Drosophila melanogaster: one gene and its partner. Changing the gene in region 1 together with any one later gene gives a genetic interaction. Each region holds a gene or a part of one and is shown in the gene's direction. Other genes may lie near its edges.

The links. A genetic interaction does not mean that the proteins touch.
Region 2: of jing (region 1) and trh, changing one enhances a phenotype caused by changing the other (phenotypic enhancement), as found in Drosophila melanogaster (one study listed by BioGRID).

Annotation. Positions count from the first base shown.
Region 1 is NT_033778.4:6,498,522-6,507,112, forward strand, and holds the start of jing (jing), read left to right. Parts: upstream 1-3,484; 5' UTR 3,485-4,517; coding exon 4,518-5,167; intron 5,168-8,591.
Region 2 is NT_037436.4:389,634-396,249, reverse strand, and holds the start of trh (trachealess), read left to right. Parts: upstream 1-3,616; 5' UTR 3,617-4,141; exon of another isoform or gene 4,142-4,244; intron 4,245-4,456; 5' UTR 4,457-4,489; coding exon 4,490-4,764; intron 4,765-6,616. UniProt on the Drosophila melanogaster protein: Transcription factor, master regulator of tracheal cell fates in the embryo, necessary for the development of the salivary gland duct, Malpighian tubules and the posterior spiracles.

The DNA of each region.
Region 1 (8,591 bases):
CGGATCCCAGCGGCACGTCCTCAGCGGTATCTACCAGCAAGGCAAATCTGTTGGTATTTGCAGGGGCTACATTTTTGATCAAGGTAGAGTTGTCGCGTGTATTTTTCGGCTTGTTTCCCAAATCTGAATTTTCCGGGCTGAGCTTTCGCTTTATTGTAATGTAGCGGTCCATTCCAGTCTGCCAGGTCGACCCAGCTTTTTTGTTTACGTTTTCGTTTTGTTTTGCTGGCAGTGCAGCAGTACCGTTTATTGCTAGCGGTTTTGCTTTCGCTGACTTAGTCAGACCGTGAGCGGGTGCAGCCGATGACGAGGCAGAGCGGGCTGCCGGTCCCTCTCCAGCTGTTGTTGTTGGAGGTAGCGGGGCTTCTGTCGGAGCCAATAGAGCGGGAGAGCAGGAGCGGGCTCTTTCTTGATTTGTTGGTAGAAGAAGGTTTCCTGGGCTATGGGTTATTGACCGCTCGATGTCTGCGTTTGGGATTGTCGGTGAGACGTAGGAGAAGTACGCGTTGTTGCGCTGAATTGAGAGTCGGCGTTCGTCATGCTCGCGCTGACGCTGGGCGCGAGTGTCATTCTGACTCATAGTTTTATTATTTAAGATAACAATTCACTATGTATTTAAGCGATCTTGCATCGCATAGAGCGTCTCTTTCGCTTTCAGATTTTTTATTTAGTTTATTTTATTTGGCGTTCACTTCACTCAAAACAACCGATTTTGTGCGGAGCACGATAAAAACGTCTTCACACGTCGGCGATCGAATTGTATTTTGATTCCTTTTTATTATTTCATCGTTACTTTTCCTCCTTCATATTCTTCGCTTAGTTCTATACTTATTTCATATTTCTTATTTATATTTATATTTAATTTAGTATACGTTAATTATATATTTCTTATATTTCATATTTCTTATTTATATTCATATTTACTTTAGTATACGTTAATTATATTTTTCCTTCCTCATATTTCTAATATATATTAATATATATTCTTATTCTTAATATATATTAACATATATTCTTATTCTTAATATATATTAATATATATTCTTATTCTTAATAATATTAATCATAAATATTATTCGGTCACTGTTACCGCTAATAAAAATTGATCCCAATATCAATTTTCTTTTTTTTTATTAAATAATAATGTAAAGGAATCCATAAGTACAATTTCCCCTTCACTATTCACAGATTTTTACATCCTTGCCCACGCATTTCCGAGAAGAATCTAAATTGGCTTTTTTAACAATAACCTTTAAAAAAAATGAAACATTTCTTGAAAGTCTTTGATTTAAAATAAAAAGGTAAAAAATACACCCTGAGACATAAAAAGTATATAAAGAAATATGTTGTTATGCTTTAAAAAGTTTCTCCACATTTTATGGTGAGCACATAGTGTTAAACGATATGGAAAAATAAATTAAGATCAATAAATTAAAAATGAAAAATATGTAATCAAATTTTTCTTTTTCTTGTTTGATCAATCCATGCAGCTAAACATTTTAAATAAATAAGCTTTTTAAATGCCTTTTCAAACGTGCGGAAAACCTTTTTTAAAGTCGTATTAATACACATTAAATTGGAGTCGAACGGAAAATATTTAGCATGGAGTTGATGTGAAAAATTTATTTAACATAAAGGTTTCTGTCTTCGTTTATGCGTTCGGAAGTTTTAGATATGTGATTATTTATGAGTCTATTTTTTTATCGTAATTAAACTGACTTTGCGTTGGTTAACCAATTTTCCCGTTGATGGTCAAGGAACATCATGCAGTTCGCTATCAATTTTAAACTGGTTTGATTCCTTACTTAGTTTACATGCCCACTTATGTAATTTTGGAATTATCTATAAAAATACTGAAAAGGCATAACTGTTTATTTGGACGTAATCGCTGACAAAAGCTGTATGCTGTGGCAATCTGAGCTTTACACTGAGAGCATTTAAAAGACCCATAATTTTTTTTTAATTGTGATGGGCTCCAGTATAATTGCCAGCTTAGATATTTTATTGAGGAAATGTTTGATTATATTTTATTTTTATATTTAATAATTTAATTTAATATTATCTACACATATGTATATGCATCTACAAAAATATTCAGCGAAGTATGAATGCAGCATTATGGTTGTTTTTCTCTCAATTGTCTCAATCCTATTTTCACTCTCTCTCTCCGTTTGCTGCAGTTTAATAGCTTTCCGGAAAATGCAGCGCAAAATGCGAACGCAAGCTTATAAACTTATTTAACTTGTCACTCTTACGCAGTGTATTTTTGCATTTACAATGGTTGAGTGAGCTATTTTTTGCAGAGCTTTTGTGAGCTAAAACATTTTGATTGTATTAGATGCATTCCTCGGAAATGAATTCATTCACTTAATTAAAGTGATCCCAAGTATGTGCAGTGTAAAACGTTCAATAGGAACAAACATTTTATTGGTAGAGTAAAACTGGACACCAAACGAGTTTTGTCGCACTCGCACACACCCGCAAAATTCTCGCGTAAACATGTCTTCTTTGTCCCTCCTGTTTTTGCAGTCTCCCTCAGTTGCATCGCACAGACGTACGTACCATTGCTTGTAGCGTAATAAAAGCACGTGTTGTGTTTGATTCCTCGCTCCCTCCCTTTCTTTGGTCTTTAAAAACAGTTGCGACTTTAGATTGTGTTTGTGAGAGAGCTGGTCTGGCTGCCTTGCTGTTTTGTTATTGTTTGGTTTTTGCCATAACTTTGTTTACTTTTATCTTTTTTTATACAAGACTCGTGTTTTTTTTGTTTTTGTTCTTGACTTTTTTGGCCTTATTAAGTGTGGGCCAAAACAGATACATATAGCCAAGGTATTGGTTATGGGTGCATATTCTCCACACATCTGTATTTAGCTTCAAATTCGAGCTCAAGTTCCCATATAACCATGCTCGCTTGGATGAACCGGTTTTGAGTTTTATCGAACCGCAGGAACCTCTTGTATTCTGATTAGTTCCCACACATATCAACAGGTAGCTGCAGCTTGGGTCGCTTGTGTGTGAGCGAACTTGCCACCGCGGACACATCGGAAGTTGCTGCCCATCTAGCCAGCCGCCAAATGCTGAAATTCAAATACGGAATCTCTGAACTTCCCCAGAAGTTCAAATGCACACACTCACACACACAGAAAGAACTCACATTGTAGCGCAACAAGCTCCCCACGCGACCCTCTCTCTTGGTCCCGCTCTCGAAAACCTGCTGCCGCTGCACAGAAATCAAAAGTGAACACACTGCACGCGGCCCTTTCTTCTCCTCTTCACCCTCAGCTCGTCGGAGAGCCCCTATTAAAACGAACGGCAGTTCGTTGCCTTCGTTCTTGCTTCGCGTGCTTCGTATCTTGATTTGTGCCCGGTTCTAGTTGGCTAAGCCATTCGGCTGGCACTCGGTCCGCCGCCTCGCTTCTCGTCGGCTACCTCTTCGGGTGGGGCCGCAGCGCTCGGTCCACTCCCACTCCACTTGGCCCCACTCGTCAGTCAGTCGGCAGGCAGAGCAAGAGCAGCCCGCAGCTTTTTCGTGGGGAGATCGCAGTTTTTCGCTTGCCAATCGATGGCGTTTCGGAATTCTTAGCTTGCAGTGCAGCGCTTCTTAGACTTTGTTTAATTTGGTTATACTGCAATTGGCGGCTATTAAGAGCAGTGACCACTACATTAATTATGAATGGTACGCGCGGCAGACAAGTTGGCCCCGCGATAAGTAAATCGCTAGTTTGCTGAGGCACATTGGAATGCATTTGATTAGATTGCGATGTGTTTGTTCGCCCGTCATTGTTGTCAATAAACAAAAGCTGGCTCGCAGTCACAGCGACTAGGAGGTTAACCTGACTTACCCGTTTCGGTTTTGAATTCGGTTTCATTGTCGCTTTCTTGAACTTGCGAGCACCGCGTGGCCAATCTTGCAGAATGAATTTCGGGTGTGCACCGGAAACAACCGACAGTGAAATAACTACTGGCCATTCACAAATCCATAAAGCACAGTGTAACACTTTGTAACGGATCGCAAATCCAACCACCCCACGCAAATCAAAACCGAACCCGCGACGTCGATTAATTTTATGATGATCAAGTAGTTTCTCGTTGAAATATCAATCGAATTGAAAAATGTGTGTCATAAGTGCAGAAGTGAAGTGCAGCTTAATGCCAAAAGTCATACAAGTGCAATTGATTTAAATGAATTTTTGTTTAATTTGTATAAATATTTTTACTTCTCGTAACTCGATAGTCCGACCCACGAAAGTCGTAAAATGCAAGTTCATGGCGATATATATATACCAATTTGTGCAAACTGATGGGGAAAATCGGAATGGTAACACCATTTAAGGGCAGTGCGGCTAAAAATTGCTGACGAGCAACTTTCAGATTAATGCAATTCAAATTGGCTTTCCGTCGACTAACAATAAGCCGTTGGGAATAGCAGATGTGTGCTAAAGCAGATCCAGAGTTCTGGCAGCAGTTAACACCAATTAAAAGCGTCGTTATAGCAATAGTGCAGCAAACATAGAGGGAAAATGTCAGTCACTCAGCCAAAGGATACGGCATTAAAGACCAAGGAGTCGGCAGCTGAAGTAGCAGCCCCTCTGGCCCCACTCTCTGTCAAAACAGCAGGAGCAACGGGACGGAAAACTTTAACCTCCAGCGCGGCTTTGTCACTGTTTGATCAGCTGAAAAATAGCGTCAATACAAACAGTTTGACAATTGGCGCCGGCGTCGGCAACAACAGTAGCCCAGAAGCCACACCACCTATAACAGCACCAGCCAGTACAACCACCGCCTCCCCGATACTTACTCCCAAAAGCCCACCACCCACACCACCCATCAACAAAAGCCCGTCTCTGTCCTCCAATATTGAACTGAAGCCCCCGGCCAAACCCGCTCGGCCCTTTACCTCGCCCAGCACTATTGGAATCGTGCAGGGTACCAAACGGGGGGTGGGCGGAGTTTTTGGCGGGTTTGGAGCCCAAGCCGCCAAATTGGATATAAACGCATTGCGATCTCAGCTCTACCAGGGCGCCAGGAAGACTGCAACAACATCTCGAGTGGGAGTCGGCAAAACAACAACGGTGGCAACAGCCCCAAGAACAACTGGAGGAGAACGTGGCACAAAGGGGTCCAAGAAGAGATGTCTAGATCGGTACGACTCGTCGGAGTCATCAGACAGGTGAGTGCATGTCGTGGGCACACTACTGAAGTTTGGCATTTTGCAGCGATAGGGAAGTACGTTGCTCTTCGACAGTTCTAAATTCTAGTCGTAATTTGAGATTTTTTGAGGTTTATTTAAATGCAAAGGCAGGCACGATGGTCGTATCTAATTTATGAAATATATTGAAAACTTAAAATTTTTAAGGAACACAATAAGACTTATTTAACAATAATAAAAAATAAACTTTTTGCATAAACACCTTTAGTATACGCCATAAAGACATTCAATAGCAGCTTACCCCGTCCCCTTTTCATCGACGTATTTAATGGCATCATTAAGCGTCTTAACAATGCAAGCTGCCAAATGTATTTCTTAGATGCACTGCCTAACTATAAAGGGAAATGCAAAAGTGTATCTGCGAACCGGCTGGCTGTGCCAAGTCTGAGCCAAAGAAAATTCTCTAAATATACACGCGCGCTGTACTGCCAAAAAGTGATCCAAAAGTGTGATCCGTAAGACACAAATAGAATGCAGCCCATCCCAATCATGATAAACGTATGAACCAAATCTGCAATGCTCAGCGAGATCTGGAAAAAGCTAATAGCCGATTGAGCTGAATTTATCTGACAGGTAATCGTTCCGATAATTGTACAGAACAGCAAAGTGCCAGTCTTGTAAGGGGCCTACGAGGCACGTGCCTCATAGATTGCAAATTTATGGCTTACAGATACATTTGTATCTACTCAAATGGGCAGCCACAAAACCTCTTGCCGCAATGCCAACTAATTTCCGCTCATTAAAAATGCGCAGCACAGTAGAGGCAGCAGTGGAATGGAAACAAAGGAAGAGCAAAGGCCGCAACGAACTGCAGGCATTTGTATCTGGCAGATACGCACAACATGCGTTCATTTATCAGCCGCAAATGGCGGCTGATGCGCCGCAGTAGCAGAGCTGCTGATTTTCCATGCGGCGCGTGGGCGGTTGAGCAAACGAAAACAGCTTCCTGGCTGCATCGATGTAGATATAGATGCAGATACGAGTCCGAAACCGAAACCACCCCCTCGGGGAAATTAATCTTGAATATGGACGGTGCTCTCTGCCGATCTGCTGCACAATTGTCGATTATGTTTAAGTTATGTTTCGGTTTTCAGAAATGGTTCTGATTCCATACATATCTTCTAAACGCCAATGTGGCATTTGTGTCTGGTTTCGCAGCAGCATGTTTCAAATGTTTTGTGGGGAGCGTTTTGTCAATTGGCTTGGCCTTATCACCGTCCTCGTATCACCTCCCCAAGATCGCGTTCCCTCGTTGACTGGTGAGCGATTTCGGCGTTGCTTCTTTCTCTTCGTTGGCAGTCGGAAATCATTTAAACTTTTGGTCGTTGAACTCCTTTTGATTTATTTATTTTGTTTGTTTCTGTTTCTGTTTTTCTTCCCTTTTTGGTTTTTGTGTGTGTGTACTTTTTTGTCGCCGCCAAAAAGCACTGCATTTTGTTGTAGCTTTGTGTTTGGCTCGGTTTTTATTTCGATTTCGTTACGTTTTGTCCGAATCTTTGCACTGAATCTTTCCAGAGCTGTGCGCCTAAAATTTGAATCTTGTCAAAATGCTGATTTTTTAAACTAAACTCTCTCGTTGGCTGGCTCATTTTAACGTGTTCCTAAACCACAAAAAACAATCCCACTTCCACTGAGCGTAGTCATTAAAATGTATTTATTTTCGAAAAGCAAAACAAAAACCAAAACATGTGCACGTATGCATTTGAGTATAACCAGCGAGTAACATCCGCAGCTTCGAAGCGGAGGCATTTAACTTTAATTGTCGCTCATAAAGCTGAAACACAACTGCAAGAGTAACTGCCTACTTCAGCAACGCAATTGTTGGCTGCTGCAACTGCTGGCGTCGTCTTTGCTTTTTGCAGTGTCGCCGGACTGAGCGAGTGTGTGTGTGTGCTATTGATTTTGTCGACTTTGGTCTTACAGGTTTTCCACGTTTTTCCACATATTTCCACGAGACCCCGAGAGCGACCCACTGCTCCAATGGCGCGAGTCTTTGCCCATGCCTTTGCTTTTGCTTTGCTTTGCTGATTGTGGGCTGTTGCTGGTGCTCTTGCTGTTGCTGTTGCTGTTGCACTTTTCGCCAAGTCATGCAAGGCGGTCAGCGGGTGGCAGGGGACGACAATCACCCTGAGATATTGTGTAATCGCCCACGTTGATTTATCTCGTTTAAGTGACTCCGAAACGGCAGCACTGCAACAGCAACAGCATCAGCAATTGCAGTTGCAATGACAGCGGCAACATCGCGCGATGACATCGAAAGTGTAATATAATAAGTTGCAATTGCCAGTGTGTGTATCTCCGTTTGTTGCCGCGGGTCGTGCACTCAGAGAGGTCGTGCTTCCGATGCTATTTGCCATGTCTTGGCATAACCACTTGCAAGCTCCTTTTTGGCCTTTTATCAATTTGAGCCTGGCAAGTTGTGAGGGTTGTTGTTTTGATGATGGTAAACGCGCTCGATTTCCGAAATATAAACTTATAAAAATATAAGTCGCTTGAAACTACCGCTTAGTGGGCGGTAATCGGGAAAGCAATCTTGATTCATCGTAATACTGACTCTTTCATAGACTGACAAAGAAATGTTCTTTCCAGGAGGTTGACATATGTATAGATACCTTTAGCAGATTTCATAAATATTAAAATAACATCTGTTCCTTACTTTCGCATCGGTAAGGAAATAAACATATAGTCCATGTCTGTTTGAAATTTTTAAATTGAAATTTATGTTCAGTGCCAGTTGCAAATATAAAGTTCGTGTACCAATTCGTTCTTTAAATGTCGGCCATATCCACTGTATTGACGCTAGGAGATTAGGCTGAAGATAAAGTTCGTTGTCTTGCAACTGAAAAGCCGAAAAAGACTCGATGAGTAAGTGGAAGAAAATGAAGTACCGTAAACATGTAGTGTTGGTTGAATGAAAAACCTTTTGAACATAAATCAAAATACGTTTTGGTCGCTCTGCTATTTGCATGTAACATATACCCACAGGTATATGTTATTCGAGGCAATCGTCTTTAGAAATCGCGTGTTTTTTTTATAAGTGTACACTGTGTTTTGATGCTTTAGTGTTTTCTTGGCAGATTTTGTATACGACTGCTGCAGTCTTTCGCGTGTTGGTTCTCTGGCGGGATTCCCGGTCTTCTGCTTGTTTGTACATATATATGCGAACCCCCTTTTCTCCTCTTACATTCTGTCCTTGTCGCTGCTGTCCTCCTGCTGTCTTCCCTTTTCGTTTTTGTTTTCCACTTGCGTGCTGCATTCCGCTGATGTCGGTGTCGTTTATCGAGAGTTTGTTGCGATGCCCAACATCAGGGGCCAAATTTCCATTGACTTCGATAAGCGGTATAATTTCTAAAAAGATGAGTTCAATAGACAAAATAAGAATATG
Region 2 (6,616 bases), on another chromosome or scaffold:
CGTGTGCATGCAAATCGAAGGCAGCCGGAGATTGAACGCCAATTAGGATGAATGTTTGGGGCACGCCGCTCCAGTCCCCTTCCATCCTTTTCAGCCAGGCCAGACTGCATGACGCCGCGTGCCGCATGCCGCTTGCCGCATGCTACTGGAAACGGGAGGAAGGGGTGGGGGACAGCCTCCTCTTCCTGGGCTTGCCATCATCAGTTGTCAGTTAATTGCTAAAAACTGTTCACACGTTCCAGGTGCGACTTTTGCATACAGTGCAGACTCAAGATGAAGTCCCAGTTGGGTAGGAAAAGCGAAGGGGAACTGACCATTCCAGTCACGTCTTCCAGATGAGAGTGCGTCCCGGAAAAATCAATATCAAAGAAACTCCATCTCCAAGTCGGCTTCCCTTTCGACTTTGCCACTTCCGCCGGCGGATATCATCCCCTAAAAGTGACCAAGATGGATTTGGCCCCTCTGCTCTTTCTCCAAAATCGGGGGCGTCGAAAGTTGTTTCATTTGTGGCCATTTTTTTTTTTTTTTCATTTTGGAGAAATTAAGCATGTACGGGATGTACCGAGACCCAGTTATGCAAATCCAAGAAATCACAGGTCGGCAACAGAGGCTCATAAATATCGACAAATTCTACGAAATTGGTGGAGTCCCAGGGTCTTCAGCAGGTGTGCTATTTAAATGCACGGCAGCAACTGCCAAAATAAGAGAGGCATCGAAAAACAAACCTGCGTTCACAACAATTTGTAGGTTTAAGCTATAGTCATACATGCACTTTTAAAAACTATCTTTAATTCAAGCATGCTTCAATATTTATAGACTTTGAGGTACTTCTCAATGTTCCCAAATCCCTTCTCTTTTTCACTTGCTAATATTATTCAATTAAGGAATCCAAAATCTCAATTGGTATTGATATATTTCTATTTCTATTTTCTATATATTTCTAACGTTTTTCCGAGTGTAATCCCAAGCCCAACCCTCAGTTAAAGCTGGCCTTTAATATGACGAACACGTACCCCTCAAAACCGTTTGGATCGGTGGATCGGTGGATCAGTGTGGATCGCTCGCCTCGATTTATTTGTTTGTTTTGCTTGGATTTTCGTAATTTCCATTCGTCGCACTTTCAGCGAATCAATCAAACGGATCCGATACGATCCGCCCCAGACCCAGAAGGTCTTTGCCACATTCCCCGATCGGCTGATAAACCTGTCAAGCCAAGGGTATAAATCAATCGATGCATAGTTTCTACTTTAAACTTTACAAGTTAGAATCACTAGAAGTTTCATTAAACTTTCGCCCGAAAAAATCAATACTCATTCCAGGGGATTTCTACCAAGAGTGAGAATTGTAATCCTGACGAAAATGCTCGGCGTATCCTGGCATCCTGGCTCATTCTCTTATGCACATCACGTGCCGCAGGACGACGGCAAGTGTGCTCCACCTCCATCTCCGGCTCAAGTTTTGTGTACTTTTTAGCACATATTCCCGACTTGAAGCCTCTGTCGATATCCTGACAGGTACATGGTCATATATGTACGAGGTCTTATATAAGGCAATTACATGGCAAATTCGTGACTCGCACTTTTTTTTTATGAGTTTTGCACTTTCTTCGCGGTCGGGTCATTAAATCTTACTTCGTGTTGGGTTCAAGTGAAACAAACAAGTACGAAGCAAAATATGTTTATATATATTTATTATAGTTATATTTGTCTGATTGCTATCCATGGTAGATGGATCAAATGTTTCGTGTTCTTTTTTGCAGGTTACGTGATTTTTTGACCATATACAATATTTTCATCTCATTTCAGTTCCCCAACTCAAGACTCTTCTGCAATCATTGTTATCACACCCACCATTAAGCCCAGTATAGGCTGGCACATTCACAACATTCTTAACTGGGATAGCATTTTCATTACAGCCAAAGGTCAGTCGGCTGGGGCAAGGCCTCATTTTATTTTATTCGCCGCCGCAGGCCAAAGTATTATAGAAGCAAAGAAACAAAGCAGCAGCTGAGCAGCACGCTCTAGGCACATTTGCCATGTTTAGAATTAAGACCTCAGATACTTGAGAAGCTCCAAAAGCCCAAATAACCGCAGAAAACGGCAACCGGCGGACGGGCAGAACCAATTCCGAAGGCAGCCAAGGCAGCAGTCTCAGGTCTCGAGTCCCCAGTTCGAATCTCCAGTCTCGGGTCCAACTCATGTTACTCACGTTCCAAACGAGCTTTTGTCAACTTGTCTAAATGATTTTTGCACACTGTAAACAAGCCAAGACACCGAGACAGACAGACGGACGGACTCAACGACAGACGGACGCTCCGTTGGACGGACAGTTGGAACGGCGACAACATTCAGTATTGACGTTGACCCTGCACGACTGCGATTCAGAAGTGGAGGCTCCGTTTGCTTGGGGATGTGAGTGTGTGCCAAGGATTCGCAACCTGAAGTCCAAGTCGTGTGTGATGGGCCAGGAAGGTAGAACTGGGGAGTTGGGAGTGGGGGAGGACTGGAGGCCAAACGGGCAGCAGCATTCCCCGTGGGAGTCTTTTGTTATTGTTGTGCTGATCTCTTGGATTTTTCGTTTCGATATTGTCGTGTAATCACGAATTTATTTTATTGAAAATCACTTGACAGGTGGCGCCTTATTTAACTAAGTTGTCAGCCCTTCCTCTTCTAAGTCCTCCGTTTCCGCCATCTGGGGAAATGACTATGAGAATGAGAATGGAAATAATGCAATGGAAATAATCATAAATGTTTTGTGGGAACAGGTCAGGTTGGTGGAATGGGCAGATATGGCAGACATGTTCATTGTTCCTTATACAACGAAGTTTTATGGTTACAATTTATAGTGGACATCAATTGTAATGCAATTGCTGAACGAAGAACTAGATAGAACGAACTTATGAACGTCTTTACTAAAATTGATGACTTAGATATGTCTGAATTATAAAGTATTTTATTTGGCGCAAGCCATTATTCAATATACTTTCTCAATATTCCTGACCTATCCTTCAAATTCCCATTTCAAATCCTAAATTTTCCTTTATGTGCTTCAGTCGATTCAGAAATGGGCCTCCCCATAATGGGAGCAAATGACTCCCCCAGTAGACCGTCTTATCTCGCCCTCAACAACATCACACACCATCCACAACACAGAACACAATATCACCGCTGGCGTGTTGAGAGTTGCTCCACCGAATTCTCCAGAGAATGCCCCGAGCGAGGAAGAGAACTCAGGTGTTCACGACTCTCTAGAGAGAGGGAGAGACCCCGAGACCGAGGCGGAGGCAAAACAAGAACATGATATATACAACAATATGATGTGTGGATGCTGTATGCTGGAGAGGACCACACCACATTAGTGAGTGGGTCTGTATCTGTGTGGCGGCGACTCTCCCATACGAAAACCTGCTCCACCACCATTTGCAGCTTGCAATGCGCCGCTCCAAGTTTCGCAGATGCAGCGCAGATGAGATGACGATGATGACGATGCTCTTGAGTTCGGACCAACAACATCCAGCCATCCAACCATCCAACCACCTCCAACCAGCCAGCCAACCGACCAACCGACCAAACGACCGAGGCGACCGACCATGTTTCCTGATGCGAGGCGAGGCGATAGTTTATCGCCAATTTTCGTGCCGTGCAGAGGTGAACGCGGACCAAAAACGTGCGAAAGGAAAAGCACTGCCCAGATGCGAGAGAGCCCAGCTCCGGCTCCCTATCGTACCCGTAGTATCTCGCCTCCGTGTAACCCGAATCCGTACACCCAACGGCTAGCGACACCCCTAATTCAAGGTTGACGTTGTGACTTGGTCGTCCTTCCTCGACGTTCAGCCACCGTTCACTTGTTTTTTGTTTGCATCAGCTCTTTTTTGGCTGCCGTCGGTTCTTTTTGGTAGGGACAAGGATGATTTTGAGGGGCTGAGCTAAGCTGAGCCGAGCCACCTCCCGAAAACTCCCCCCTAAAACGGCCATGCGCGTTAACGGTAAATAATGGCCGCCATCTTGGCCCAAACGGAATGTGCAAATATGTCTATATAATCCGCAAGTGTTTGTGTCTCTGTGAGAGTGCGTGTGACCACATCAAATCAAAGATAAATAGCTGAAAAGCTATCGCCGAAAATAAATAGTCTCGCATCAGGGTGGGTCAAGTTCCATAGTAGGACGAATGAGAGATCAATCGCAGGGGCGGAAAGAATTCTATCGGCATAACTTTAATCCAATTGATTTGTTTAAAATTTAATTAAAAAAAAAAAAAAAAAAAAAAAAACTATTAAAAGTCACAAGAATTAACAGAACAGAATTTTGTTCCAATTATCTTATTACATTTTTAGAACGATACTTTATTGGCCAGACCATACTGCCATCATATAGATATATTAATGCAAAGCTTTCTTTCCACACCTACGATTCCGTGTCTATGAAAACCGGACTCACCCTAATAAACCTGCGTGTAGTCATAATATATAGATAGAGAGGAACTCCTAGAAATGGAGCATCACGGCAGTGGGTTCGTGGCTTCGCCATGGGCCGCCGTTCTGGGACACCACTCGATGGCCTCCGATGCCGGGTTCGCCGCTGCGGCTGCTGCGGCGCATGTCCAGAACCACTCGATGCACCATCCTATACACTCGCATCACCACCACCACTCGCACTCGCATCCACACCCACATCCGCACTCGCATCCGCACCACCATCCGCACCTGGGAACCGCCGGAGGGATGCCGATGGATCTGCATGTGCCGCAGGGATTCCCCTACTACAGGTAAATTAAACGAAACCAGAACCACTTCACACTGCACCAATATTTCCCTTCCATTCGCACACTCTATTGGTTTCTCTTTCGCTGGAGTTTGCATGCAAATTTTGGGGGCGTTGCCAATGGCGGAAAAGTGTCCACCTGATATCCAATGGGCTGAGATGCGGAGATGCTGAGACAATTGATGGAACTGCCCACTAACAGGGAGAAATTATTCCACTTCCTTTTTGGGGTGGAAGTTAGGCGATTGCTCGCTCATAACTGAGGTTCTAGGTAAAAAAAAATTGTGACTTAAAGGAACTGACAAGGTACACCTCCTTAATCAGTTTTTATTCGTATGTGAAAATATGTCTCACAATCCTGAAATATCCATTTTTGACCCCAGCATGTCTGACACCTTGTCACCTCATACCCACCACGAAGTGTGCCCCCCCCCCAAAAGTAGCTTTCGCCAAAAAAAAAAATTAAATGTCCGAAAATTAAAATTTTTCAGTTATGAAGTGCAGGCAGAGCACTACAGAGGTGCCAACATCGATGAAACTCATAATTAAACTAATTGAATTTACGTGACAATAACACTTTCGACACTCACTCGCCAGGCCACCGAAAAGCGAGCGATGAACGCCTCACGAAGTCGGGCGATTGTCACGAGATAAGTTGGGCAGCTCCCTCCATCTTTCACTTTTCCCACTCCCAGTACATAAGCCTCCTCCGTAATGCATGGTTATTTTCAATATCGAAAAATGAAATCGGCATCAAAGAACATTTCGCCGCAATAGCCATGAAGCAGAAGTGGCAATCCGGGCTCTGTCTTAAGCCGAGACCTCTTTTAGACATTCCCACAACAATATTGCAATGGCGATGTAATTCATGAACTCTGATTGGTGGCCCCGCCGAAAGAGTCGAGTTTGTAGTTAAGATTGAGGATTGAGGCTCGAGGAGTTCCAGATGCGGGCACAGCAGCTTTGACTACCAGTGTCTGGGGTTTTGGGACTTGGGATGGCTAGAGATGGGCCACAGGGCCTTTTGAATTGATAGTCCGGAGCGAAAGATTTAATAAATATGCTACGTTAGAAGGATATGGAGACATTCGAGAAAACCAGAATAGCTTAAATATTAAAAGTATTGTAGTATAGTATTGTATAGCTGTGCCAAGGGTCGTGAGTCTCGTGACTCACTTTCTTGCCTATCGGTAAGCTGCTCACGCACATCTCTAAGGCACACATAGGCCTTCATGTTCCGAACTTAAGCTTCAACTGGGACTGCAACTTTAACTCCGACTCTGAACTCCCGACTCCGCCACTCCAACTTCTCGGCTCACACAATCAGCGTCTATCAGCATTTTTCAATTATATCGGAATAGCGTTATCCGTGGCTGGATCGCGTCAGAACGCATAATTACTATAATCACCTGAGTTATTACCTTGGCGAATATTGACGAAGACGCGAAGAGAGGGCCGCGAAGTAATATTAAAAGCACAACCAGCGCGGCGGGAAAAGGGTTCCCTGCTGAAATCTAAACTGTGATTGTTTCCCCTCGCCAACCTGCGATGGGCTGCCTCTGATGACTCTGCCTCAATTTCATTTTGGTCTTTTTCCCATTATTTTCATTTTATTTTTCACTTTTTTATTTTTGCTTATGCCTCAATTCGTTAAAGTTACATTACACTGGGAAAAATGGATGGCCACGGGGGAGGGGCCACGATAACTAAAAACGAGTGAGACAAAAAGAGTTTTGACCTAACTGGAAAATTGCTGGGACGTTTGTTTTTCATTACAGCCGACAACTTTGTTGCTTTGTATATTGGAAGGGGAATTTCCAGGGGGAATTTCCAGCGCCTTCACGGGCGGCAAAGGG